Linked DNA regions of Caenorhabditis elegans. The protein of the gene in region 2 purifies or fractionates together with the protein of the main gene of each other region. This does not show direct contact. Each region holds a gene or a part of one and is shown on either strand. Other genes may lie near its edges.

Evidence for each region. Proteins that work in one complex are often made in the same cells at the same time.
Region 1: the proteins of T23G11.7 (region 2) and F08F8.6 fractionate together in Caenorhabditis elegans (co-fractionation; one large-scale study listed by BioGRID). This does not show direct contact.

What each region holds. Positions count from the first base shown.
Region 1 is NC_003281.10:7,342,056-7,347,950, reverse strand, and holds F08F8.6 (uncharacterized protein), read right to left. Parts: upstream 4,263-5,895; 5' UTR 4,181-4,262; coding exon 4,142-4,180; intron 3,754-4,141; coding exon 3,553-3,753; intron 3,225-3,552; coding exon 3,125-3,224; intron 3,080-3,124; coding exon 2,987-3,079; intron 2,731-2,986; coding exon 2,681-2,730; intron 2,633-2,680; coding exon 2,570-2,632; intron 2,489-2,569; coding exon 2,222-2,488; intron 2,172-2,221; coding exon 2,127-2,171; 3' UTR 2,096-2,126; downstream 1-2,095. Other genes in the region: gos-28 (Golgi SNAP receptor complex member 1), read left to right, coding at 226-350; F08F8.7 (Ribulose-phosphate 3-epimerase), read left to right, coding at 809-906, 1,306-1,605, 1,658-1,745, 1,795-1,992; kap-1 (Kinesin-associated protein), read right to left, coding at 4,378-4,482, 4,813-5,013, 5,061-5,128, 5,515-5,717, 5,764-5,888.
Region 2 is NC_003279.8:7,675,745-7,682,608, forward strand, and holds T23G11.7 (HAUS6_N domain-containing protein), read left to right. Parts: upstream 1-3,703; 5' UTR 3,704-3,711; coding exon 3,712-3,808; intron 3,809-3,989; coding exon 3,990-4,978; 3' UTR 4,979-5,089; downstream 5,090-6,864. Other genes in the region: F26A3.7 (uncharacterized protein), read right to left, coding at 1-20, 69-272, 323-376; golg-5 (Golgin-84), read left to right, coding at 938-1,009, 1,056-1,255, 1,301-1,458, 1,506-1,737, 1,792-2,011, 2,056-2,213, 2,382-2,736, 2,789-3,049.

The DNA of each region.
Region 1 (5,895 bases), on a different chromosome or scaffold from region 2:
ATAAACTTGAGTTCAAATTTCTTGCAATACAGTTTTTTGACAAAAAATCTTTAAAAAAAAACAACAAAAAATTTATTTGAAATTTGGACCGAAAAACAAAAGTTAGAATTTCTCCAAAAAGCCGAAAAAATTTCAAAAAAAAATTCCTCCTTTCAACTGAGACTCAACATTTTTGAAAAACAGTTTTACAAGCTGCATAATAATTATCAAAACAACTTTTTTTAGAAAAATATCCTGCAATTAACAATTTGATGCAAAAAATCAAAACGAAAAAGCAGAAGAACACACTGATCCTTGCTGCCGTCATCTCATCGTGCCTTATTTTTACAATTTTCTGGATTATCAATTAATCAGTTTCAAATATCAAAAAAAAACTCAAAAACTTTTTCGAACTCCGATTTTCGTATTTTTCGAAGAAATTTAACAATCGGCAGTCGTAACTTTTTATCAAGTTTTCGAGTTGTTATTACTTTGTGTCAATGAAAAATAGAAACTGAATGATAAGAATAATCGATTTTTGTACTATTCCCTTGTCCCTTCATACAACGCACACCACTTTCATTGTGATATTCCTCACCGTTTTTCTAATTTTTACTTGTAAATAATTTTCTCGTTTTGTAATCTTTCGAGTATAATGGAGTTCTTGGCTTTTTCGTTTTTTTCTCGATGTGAAACAATTGGGTATACATATTTATGAATTAAAGTATTATTTAAAGATTTTTTTGAAAGTTTACAGTTGAAAGTTTAATTCTATAACTTTATTTGTTCATTGATTCTGGATGATAAAATTTATTTATCTAGAATTCAGATGACCCTCCGTCCATTTGTGTGTCCATCAATTCTGAATGCCGATCTTGCATCATTGGCTTCTGAATGCAAGAAACTTTTAGCAGCTGGAGCAGATTGGTAAGGTGATCTTTAGAAATTCTGAATAGTTTTGACAACTACTTTCATATTTAAATGTCCCTTTAGATTTCAAAAATCTAAATGGGAACGCACAAAAACCTCTTCTGAAATCAACATGGAAACGTACTCCACGGCCAATTGGAAACGCTCCGACCCCCCGAGATTACGGTCTCGTTAGGTATTTGGCCACAAAATCGCAAATTGAAATTGTTTTCATCTTCAAACACAAATTGGCAGGACTAATTGAAAACGCTTAAACTATCAATGTCAATACCTAATGAGACCCATGGTTCGAGGGGCGGAGCGTTTTCATTTAGCAGTAAGTAAGTAACGTTTCCACTTGGATTTTCAAAGGATTTACTTTCTGCGTTCCCATAGTATCCAGCTCCCAACTTGCAGGCTTCACCTCGACGTGATGGACGGTCACTTTGTACCAAACCTCACATTCGGTCACCCTGTCGTTGAATCTCTTCGTAAATCTCTTGGTGCTGAACCATTCTTCGATGTTCATTTGATGGTCTCTAATCCTGGACAGTGGGTTGAACCGATGGCAAAAGCTGGTGCCAGCCAGTTCACATTCCATTATGAGGCTGTAGATGGTGATGTGGCAGTCAGTGAATTGATCGAAAAAATCAGAAAAAGTGGAATGAAAGTGGGATTATCGGTCAAACCGGGAACTTCTGTTGAGCATATTTTGAAGTAAAATCAAAATTATATTTCAATCTAGATTTTAAATTAAAAAACTTTTTAGACATGCTAATCATTTGGATAATGCTCTTATCATGACTGTGGAACCAGGATTTGGAGGACAAAAGTTCATGGAAAACATGATGGAAAAGGTATTTATTTTGGTTTTTATTTGATACGAATAAAATTTATGGCTTTCAGGTTCGCACAATCCGTTCAAAATATCCAAATCTGACTATTCAAGTTGACGGAGGAGTAACACCTGAAAATATTGAAATCTCTGCTCAAGCTGGAGCCAATGCGATCGTGAGTGGAACTGGAATCATCAAAGCTGCAGATCAATCTGTCGCCATGACAACAATCAGAAATGCAGTTGAAGCTGCTATTTCGAAGTGCTGATTTTCTTAATTACTTGAATATTGTTTTGAATTTTGAAGCTCATTTTTTCAGAGCTTTTTGAGGTTGTGATGTTAATAGTTAGTAAATGATTGTCAATTAAAAAATTCAAAGCAGCATTTATTTATCTATAAAGTTCAGATGGGCTCTGCAGTTCCTAGCTTCGGGGTCGGAGCAGGTGTCTGAAAAAAGAGCATTACAAAACATCATGGACCATTCTTCAGTTGCTTACATTTTTAACACTTTCCTTCTCCTTGCTCGGAGTCTTCTTATCCTGATTTGATGGCAATACTCCAGTACTTCCAATTGTATCTTTACTCGGAGTCTTTCGTGGTTCGATATTTCCTGCCTCTTGGCTCATTGCAGTATTCAACGACGGCTCCTTGCTTCTTCCTCCAGCATTTGCAGTCTTTGTAGATTGCTTCGGAGTCAACATGATCTCACGAGACGGCTGCTTACGATTCGGAATTGGAGGAGGAGAACGTGGCAATGTCTTTTTCTGAAAAATTGGTTGTACTTTTGCTCAAGATCTTGGAGTACTACAAAAGCTAAAAAATATTTCGAAAAATAAAAAACGAACCAGATCAGTCTCACTCTCCTTTGGTGTCTTCTGTAAGCTGAGCATGGCCGATTTTGGAGCAGGCTGAAAATTGATTGAAATGAATGAAAACACTCGAGTGAACATACAAACCTCTTCAATAGTTCCAAGTGTCATAGTCTTCGATTTACGAGTATCTTCATCTGAAAATTGATTTCGATTATTTGCAAGAAATAGACAGACACTTCACCAGTCCCTTTCCTTCTGCCTACCTAATACTTACTTCACACCTGCCTGCGTACGTGTCCACCTCATCCCTACATCTTACGGCTTTGCCGACTTGCACAACCCCCCTCAATACCTACTCCCTGTCTATCTGACCACCAGGGCAACCAAGTTGCTGGTTGCCGAAAATTGGAGCGTATGGCAACTAAACAATAACCGAGTTCTGATTCTTACCTCCCATCGTGTCATAAACACGTTCAATATCAGATGGTGGAAATGTGACATCTTCTGGATATCGATTATCTTTTTTTCCTGGTTTTGTTTCCTCTGAAATAATGAATTTTGGAGAGACAGATACAGAGAAAGACATACGTTTTTGTCCATTTGTCGAGTAGTTCACATTGACAGAACCCAAATGATTAGGATGACAGATTTGTTTGCAGATTTCGATTGGAAGGAGAATTTGCAACGCCTGAAACTAGTAAAATTAAATAACTTTTTATGAAAACTTTTCTATCATAATTTGGGGCATTGACCAAAACCAATTTTTTCTAAAAATAACCTTATCGAATGTTTATTTTTGTATCGGAACATTATAGAAGTTCGAAACTACAGTTTATTCGTTAGTTTTTCATCATTTGACTTGAGAGTCGTGATAGTACTTCAGAGACTCTTCGGATATCTACAGTAACCTACAAGTGTATTGTATGTGTGAATATAATGTTTTGTAGAAGTATCCAAAAGAGAGGTGTTCAATTCACAACTATCGAAAAGGGCAATTTCTGAAGAGTTGAACTTGCCTCGTCAATCAAATCGATGATTGCATTATCCAAATCCTGTATCGTACTCCATAGTTGAAATGCGTTGAAAACCGAGTAAATGGTACTCAACAACGCGATGAAGCAAAGTGCAGAAGCTACAATCCATAATCCAAGTGCCAGTTTATTATAATGAAAATATTCACACTGGTGTTGCTTGAGTAAGTTATCGATCGTTGTTGTCTGAAAATCCGATTAACATGAGAACTGCTAATGAGGTTCCCAGCCACGATGCAACTAGATTCCACTTCAAATTAAACGTGTCAAGTATTAAGAAACCATCGGTGCATGAGAATGTCTACTTTCTGGCGCGAAAATGGCGGCAGGAGAGATTCTTCGGATATCTAGAGTAATCTAATTGTAAGAACATGCGGCGATGAGAATTTAGGTACCTTCGCTACGAGATATTCCCGCGCCAAAACGGTAGGCATTCTCATGATCTCATGGTCTCTTAATAATTTCTCTTATTTTCTTCTGTGGCATTTTTGAGTCCTAGACTCTTTCAAGTACTATATGTGTCCCCATTCACTCCACCTTTAAGATTCACAAGATTGAAAGTTTCACAACTTACCGAAATTATTGCAGTTGTAACATTTGAAGAATTGTTCATTTTTGAATAAAATGAAGCAGTCACTTCGAGGAATGAAACACTAAATGTGAAACACTACATGGCCAGAGAAAATTTGACCTTTCAAAAGATAAATATTTATACGTGAATTTTGTTTTAATTTTTTGCATATAAATCAAAACATTCATTTATTAAGTAAAAATATATAATTTGTAGGTTAAAAAAACAACAAACAAAAGTTAAAAAAGGGGCTCATTCATATCAAATCCATCATCATAGTGATCAAATTTGAGATCAGCTCCAAAATCTTCATCATCGTAATCTACGAATTCGCTGTCGTCTCGCTGGAAAAACGATTTTTAACCGGTGACTTTAGAGCCTATATTAATGTAATGTAACTCAAGCTGCATTACTGCTATCCTGTTTCTACCGTAACACTCACCGTAAACTACTAAATAGATTCATTTAAAGTAATGATGTTTTTGATACATATTTTTAACGGGATAGTCAGAGTGTCTTCGTTTTTGAAAGTATTTTTATACAGAAATAAAACTAGGAAATGCTAGTGACGTTAAATTTCCAAAACCTTGTATAGTATATTTGTATAGTGACCAGTATCATAATATTATTTGTACCAATCAACGAATAAATTGTTAAAATAACTACGATCATACCTCAACCATCTCCAACCATTGTGCATTGTGCCATTTGAATCTCTCTCCAGCTATCCGTTTTGCCCATTCTTTTGAATGTTCACCCATTATCAAAAGGGCATTATCGCAAACTTCTCGAACCACTGCGTTTGCATCGTGCATCAAATCGATCATATGGGCTCCGAGAGCTGAATCTTGAGTCATCAGGCGAGCAGATAGTTCCTTTGAAAAATTTATATGAGAGTTGAAAAAACTCTAAAACGTTATACCTTGTGCTTTAAAAATTGCAAGAAAACGTAGAGAAGTTGCACAACAAACTCATCATCAATTTGGCATGCTGAAAAAAAGATTGCGATATTTTTCAGTAATTTATTTGTATTCTCGATACACCCAAAAAAGATCAAAATGACACCAGTAAAACACTTCAAAAACGTTAGATTTTAAAAAAGATTTAGCTGAAGATTTGTTAATTTGCCAATTACTTCCAAAAATATGTACTTTTTGAGTAATTTTGAACATTTTTACATGTTCGATTTCCTAGAATGTTCAAATACAATTGAAACACAACTAGTTTCAATAATTTCCATTTTGTAATTTACCAACTGGCAAAGCTCCACCTTTAAATCTGATTGTGAGGAAAAATGAACTTTTATGTTTTCAAAAGTTACTGGGGTTTTATTATGAAACAAACTCTTAAAAAATAACTTAAATTTATGAACGTACATTGTAATAACTGCACAAATGTATCAATCAAAGGAGCCAATAACCTAGCTGCATCCAATTGCCTAGCCATTGTTCCACAAGCAATTACAATTTGTAGTTGGAGAGGTTTTATGTCTCGAAGTACTGTCACTTCTTCGGATTCATCAATTCCTTCTTGAAGTTGAGTTTTCATCCAAGGAACAAGATTTTCAGATTGAATTATTCTATAATTTAAGTTTTTGATTGGAATTCCGAACTCAAAAAGCTCACTTTGCCCACGGAGCAACTTTGAGCTCAGCAACTGTACCCATGCATTCTAAACCAAATGAAGATTTTGACTCTGAGTTGTCTGCTCCTTCATTTTTTGCAATCCCGATAAGAGTTTCAATCCACTTCTGAAAA
Region 2 (6,864 bases):
CCATAGGATTGTGAAGGAAACTGAAATTTTCAAGATATATAAAATTTCCAAATTTATTTATCAACAACTTCTTCATCCTCCTCGTCGTCTTCAGCGGGGTTTTCTACGTTTTGTAATTTTTCTCTAACTTCTTTTGGTATGGAAGGTCCAAATACACTTGTCTCTTCCTGATCATCGTGCTTTTCTTTTTCATTTTTTGGTTCTTCCATTCCTGGAATTACAGGGCCGTAGACTTGGGGAGCGCCTTCTTCTGCTTCGTCATCCACTTCATTCTGAAACAAAAATAGCATCAGCTGGATGTAAAGTAAAATATCAATCACACCTCTTTTATTTGACCTTTCATGAGAAATGCAGGAAGCTGAGGGCCGTATGACATATCTAAACTGAAATGGAGTTATTCGAAATATTTTATATAAATTTCTGTCGGATATTTATGCATGTTGTCTAAAAACATAGTTTGGAAGAATCGAACAAAATTAATTTTAAAAAAAATTTAAATAAGAAAATCAGCACATTCGAGGACTAACATTTGTGACAAGCCTACGCGCTCCATTGAACATGAAACTTTGACTTTTTCCAGGTGTTCCTAAATTGATGATGAATCCCAAATATTTTCTTGAATATTTTCTTAATATGTTTATTAATATATTAAAATTGAAAATGTATTAAAATTATTGAGGTAAATCTATAAAATCAGGAAAAATTCTATCATTGTTCGGTGGCCTAGAAATTGGGGTCTAGGTTTCTCATGACCGAACTTGACGAATCCACGTTCTTTCAAAGCTTGTTCTTGTTTTTATGCTTCGTAATCGATTTTCTGAAATACATGTTTTGAAACGCATATCTTTCGTTTGTCATACATTGGAAACTTTTATTTAAACGATTATTCAAACCCACGTAAAATGAATAACTTGTTTTTACAGAGAATTAAACACGAATGTCATGGTTGTCTAAAGTGTCCGATATTGCCGGAGCGGCCGAAAATCTTTTGAATAAACTTGATGAAAAGGCAAATCTTGAAACTAATGTTTCTATGTACAGAATAAATGTTACAGACTGGAGACGCAATTCAAAATGCCAGAGATTCCGCTCCTCGAACACGTAAATCAAGTACCGCCAGCGTCTCAGCAACGATTATTTCGATGCCAGAACATGTTATCACTGAAGATTTCGGCAGACCGGCTCCATCTCTTCCCTCGAGAGCTCAGAGTGATTATACCGGAGCCGGATGGAGAGGAGGAAGAAATTATGAACAGTTCGTTATTCTGATTTTCTTCACATGTGTCATTTAAAATTTCAGGGGTAGTTCATCGACTCATCAGCCAGGAGTAACAGCAGCATCTGAAAGTTGGACGATGGTTTTAAACTCGAAAGAAGTAAAAAATGCAAAACCAGATGAAGATACACGAAGTCAGAGGAGTGTTGGAGGCCGTAGTGTTGCTAGTATTCGAACTACCTGTATGTTTTGACGATTCTTACGAAACTTTTGAATTTTGATTTTTCAGCAGAATTTGCGGGAAACGATTCGAGTCCCAATTTTAAATCTCAATTATTTGCAAAGGATTCTCAAATATCAGTATTAAAAACGAAACTTTCTGAAGTGGAAAGAAAATTTGAAAAACGTAGTCAAGATTATTACGAGATGAAAGCTGAAAAGGAAATGTTAGAGAAGAGAGTTGAAAACCAAAAAGTATCAAGTCATGAAATGGATAGTCTTCAAGAATTGAAATTAGCCAGGTAATTATATTAACATCTTGACGTGTTGTTTTGCATTTAATTCAAGTTTTCTAGACAAAAAGCACAAGATCAAAAAGAGAAAGCAGTGGAGGAGTGTAACATGCATAAGAGAAAAATAGTTGGTTTGGAAGAAGAAATTCGTGCGATGGTCGAACAGTTGAGGCTGGCAAAGTTCAATCTGAATGAGAACAAAAAAGAATTTGATGAGTACAAGAACAAGGCGCAGAAAATTTTGACAGCTAAAGAGAAACTGGTGGAGTCGCTGAAGTCAGAGGTTTGAGAGATTTGACCGAGGATTGATATTAAAATTCAATTCAGCAAGGAATCGGATCCAGTGATCGTCCTGTTCATCTTCTTCAAGCTGAAGTTGAAGAGATCAGAGTTGAAAGAGACCTTACAAAAGCCGATTTAGAATCTGCACAACTTCAAGTTTATACCTTGAGATCTGATATGGAAGAATTGGAAGCTCAGATAAGGTAAGGTTTTTCCTTAAATTTTTCACATTTCGGATTTATGACGAAAATTCAAATTCTCTCCCATACTCGATGGTCGAGCTTTTAATTAATAGCTTTTTAATTTTTTAATTCAAAAAAAAGAGGCTTTTTTGAGAAATTCTTAGTACTGTTCCAATTTCCACTTTTAAGAGATCTCCAATCTCAATTGTCGGACCAAAAACGAACTCATCTCGAGGAGAAGCAGACATGGGATAGCACAATTGGTCTTCTAAACGAGAAAGTGGAATGTTCAAGAATTGAAAATGAGTTCACAAAACAAGAAATGAAAAGACAAGGTGATCAGCATCAATCTAAAATGCTCGAGAAGGAAAATGAGTTGAGAAAGACGATTAGCGACTTGCGTTCACGAATGCGAGATGAACAAACGAAGCAGGAAGATGATGGATCATCACAACTAACTGATCTTTTACTGCAGAAGCAACAACAATTGGAAGATGTTTTAAGAAATAATCAAGTGTTGAATGTGAGATTGGAAAGACTTCAGGTGAGAAACTATCAATTTATGAATATCAAAAGTTGTAATATTCTGTTTTTAGAAAGCTACAAATCGTGAAACATCGATTGCTGTGGACTCGAATTCATCTCCAATGCACACGTCATCATCTCATCCACTTCTATCAAATATCAATAATCCACAAACTCGAAATGCTCTTCACACTGTAGATTCGACGGCATTCAAATTGTTATCAATGCTCCGCGGACATCCATCAGCCCGCCTCTTTTTTGTTTTGTACTTTATCATAATGCATTTATGGCTTTTCTTCATTGTTCTCACGTATACCCCAGAGATTCATTGATTTAATCACGGTTGTGTTCCTTATTATGTATGTTTGTATAATATATTGGGATTAACATATACTGCATGGTTAGTTTTTACTTGGTTTAGTGTTTCTTTTCTTTTTTCGATTATTTTCCAGTGTGATACCCGCTGTTACTTTTCCCGTACCCCATTTTCGCTTTTTTTTTGTCCTAAAATAATTCATTCTCTTCAAAATACAATAATGACTGGTCTAGATCCGAACTATGTGAATAAAAATAAACATCAGCTAATGTAGGATTTTCCCTGTTTGTCTATAAAATTTTGCGGTTTTCATATAAATTTCCGCCTTCAATACATCTGAGATTATCGATTTTGCTGTCATTCTTGTCAATTTCATCCTCCATTTTCCATTTATTTGATTTCAAAACAAATAGCAGTGACGAATGTCGCCAATGATGAGGATGAAGAGACGCAGAGTGATAGGGGAAACTGTTTGAGTCATACTTCGATTTCTGTTTTCTACAACTCTTCAGTTCGTTTTCTTGCGATAAAAGTAGCAATGATTTCATTCATTTTTCCTTTTCTTGCGAAATTTTAGAATAATTATTGTCGGGAAAGAGTTTTAATATTTATTTAATCGTACTTTAGAAGTTTATACGAAATTTGTTTATTTTTAATTAATTTTTCGACATTTCAGAAATGTCTGCGAATCTCCCACCAGCATTCAAACCAATTGCTCACTACATAAAGATTGCTAACGAGAATGCAAGCCGCGATCCGGTCATTTATTACTGGTGTAAGTTATTTTTCAAATATTTTGACCAAACTATTCATTTGAACCGAATATCTCATTTTCCCCGCTTTTTTGTTTGAGCTTTTATCTAACTATTTGTAAATACTAACAGGGTTGTGCGGAAATTTTATTAAATACCAAGTAACGAAAATCTTTAAAAATTGTGAACTTTATCATCGCACAGCCCTGCTCTGTATGGCACTTGGTCCTGTGGAGACAACATTCGATGAAATATCGTGGAAACTACTTCAAACATCGATTCGCCTGGAAAAAGATCATATCAATGATAGAGATTCACTCCGAGAATATATTGATGAACCTGGTGGAGTTGTGAATAATTGTCAAAGAGCACAAAATATATCAATGGAAATTGAACAGAAAAATGTTTCGTGTGAAAAGCTGAGAGAAAAAATTGCAAAGATTAATCAGAAGATACTTATTGGAAAAGGAAAGCTTTCAGAAGTGAACGAAGAACTTTCCAAAAAGCAAAATTTTGAGGAGAGTTTGAAGCAGAAAATTGAAATTATGGAGCTACAAATAAATAAAAATCAGTCCAAAAAGGATAAAGAAGTGAAATCAATCAATGTATTGATCAGATTAGTTGCATATAGAAAGCTCACATTGATCAAAGAAGTCATGGACCTGTTCAAAGTGAAGATCGATGGAGGGCCAGCATCTGAAGCAATTACTACTAAAAACTGTCAATGTCAGCTAATCGATACGATCCGTGGACTTCATATTCCTCAAATCACTCACATTTTCAATCACTCGGAGGCTCCAACTCTAACCGCACTTCAAAATCTGACTCATCTCTTCAATGTGATTTGTAAAGTTCTACACTTTGCTCCAAAATATCCCATTCTGACAAATCTTCAAATCATCAACCCAATTGATCAGAAAAGTTCAATATTCACGGAGAAATGTTGGAAGAAGAAGGCAGATCGTGAGAAACTGATTGAGGGAATGTCCTGGTTGAGTAAAAATATCAGTCATCTTCGTGAAAGTTGTGGAATTCCGACAATGGCGACTGACAGAATTCTCGGAACACTTGAAGAATGGATTCGATTAGTTATTCGCAAGGAAACTGTTTTCGAGAGACCCATTAATAGTATCTTTAGTCCCGCAAACTTATTGATTGATTATCAAATTCCAAACATTTCCTACCATAGTTAGGTTATTCAGTTATTTCCTCTGTGAAGTGATCCCCGGAAGTCTGATTTATTCCATCAATCCTTTTTTACATTCCCAGTGTCCGTATGCTTTTGCAAATAAAAAACATTGTATAATTTCCTAATCTGAATTTATTCATTTTCTAAACATTTAATCCTCTACAGGTCTCTTCTATGCTGTTCAAACTGCCATGAAGCTTGATAAATCAACTGTCGAAGCACGTCAATATCTGACTGGACTTCTCACAACTCTTGAAGCGATTAAAACTCAATTGGCTGACAATGATGCTATTAAAAATGAGGTGAGATTTTAATTTTCAAATGACTGTATAAAAAATTTTTTCAGACAATTGCTCAAGCACACATTGAAAGTTTTGCTGAAAAGCTCTTCAACTTTGCCGACAAGAAAGAGAAAACAGGAAATGTTAGTTGATTTAAATTTGTTTTCTGAATCAGAAATATTTCGATTCAGTAGAAATCGAATTTTGATGTTTTCAAAAATGCTAATTTTAATAAGTAAACGAAAAAAATAATTTTTTTCAAAAACATGAGAAATGGCTAAAATATAATGAAAATGTTCCCCTCAAAAATCAAAGATTTTCGATCAGGGTGTCGGCGAAAAATTTTTCCATTTTTCCGTTTTTTTAGAGCAAAACCGAATTTTTTTTTCAGAAAATGCTTCTGAAAACCTTTAAAAATCGTTCTCTTTCAAAAAAAATTTAGTATTTATATTCCGGTTTTCCAACAACAGAAATTTCCCATTTTTCCAGGATGGAAAACATTAAAGCTTTTTTTTCGATTTATCAGTTTCTGAGCCAAATTTTAAAAAACTAAAAAATTTTGTTATTCAGCTATTCAGAAAAACCGGCAAAATCAGAATCAGAATTGAACTATTTCAGGTCGATAAATCCGTAGTCCACGCATTCTACACTGCAGGACATGTCATGGATATTCTTTCTCTGTTTGGAGAGGTAAGTAGATCTGAGTATTTATACTAATTAATTTATACCAAAAAACAAAAATAATACATTTCTTATTTTACCCAACTAAATTAAAAATTTTAAGAAGTCGGTTTTGTTTTTGGTTTTTTGGTTCGAAAAAATAAAAAAACAATAGTTCTGGTAGAAATATATTGAAACAAAGTTTTTTTGCAGATTGATGAGCCATTCCTTTCATCAAAGAAATATGCTAAATGGAAGAGCACACAGATTTTCACATGTTTGAGAGATGGAACACCTTATGTACCAAGTAGTCAAGAGACAGAAGATGCGGACGATGGTAGGCTTCGAGATTCTTCATAGAATTTTCAAGAAAAGCATTTTGAACTTTTAGATTTGTCACAGTTTGGAGCACAATTCCAACCAAATGCTCCATCTTCATCAGGGCCACAGGAGCACAGTTATAATCAACCACCGGCTCCTGGATTTGGATTTGGAGGTGGAATTCCGAATGTCCCATCAGGTTAGAAAATATTTGAAACAGAAAAAAAAATACACAGCTTAAAATTGAATAACTCGTTTCAAAAAAGTGAAGATAAAGGGTGTCGGATTTTCTTTTTTTTTGAAATCTAAAAACCAAAAATGAAAAAAGTGAAAAATTTTCGACGACATCCTTTTTTAGGATTTCAGAAACTGCATATATTTCTTTGCTTTTTTCAACGAAAAATTTTGATTCTGAATTATTCGAAGCAAAAATTAATAGATGTTCGGAAGATCAAAAATTTAATTTTCTTTTCAAAAATAATTGAATTCTGAACTTTTAAAGATCACTCTCTTCCACCACAACCACCTGCTCGCAACAATATTCCACCTCCATCGTATTCTTCAACTCCAAATCTTCCATCTCATACTCCATTTTCGGCTCCACCACCACGTAATCAGCCACAACAAT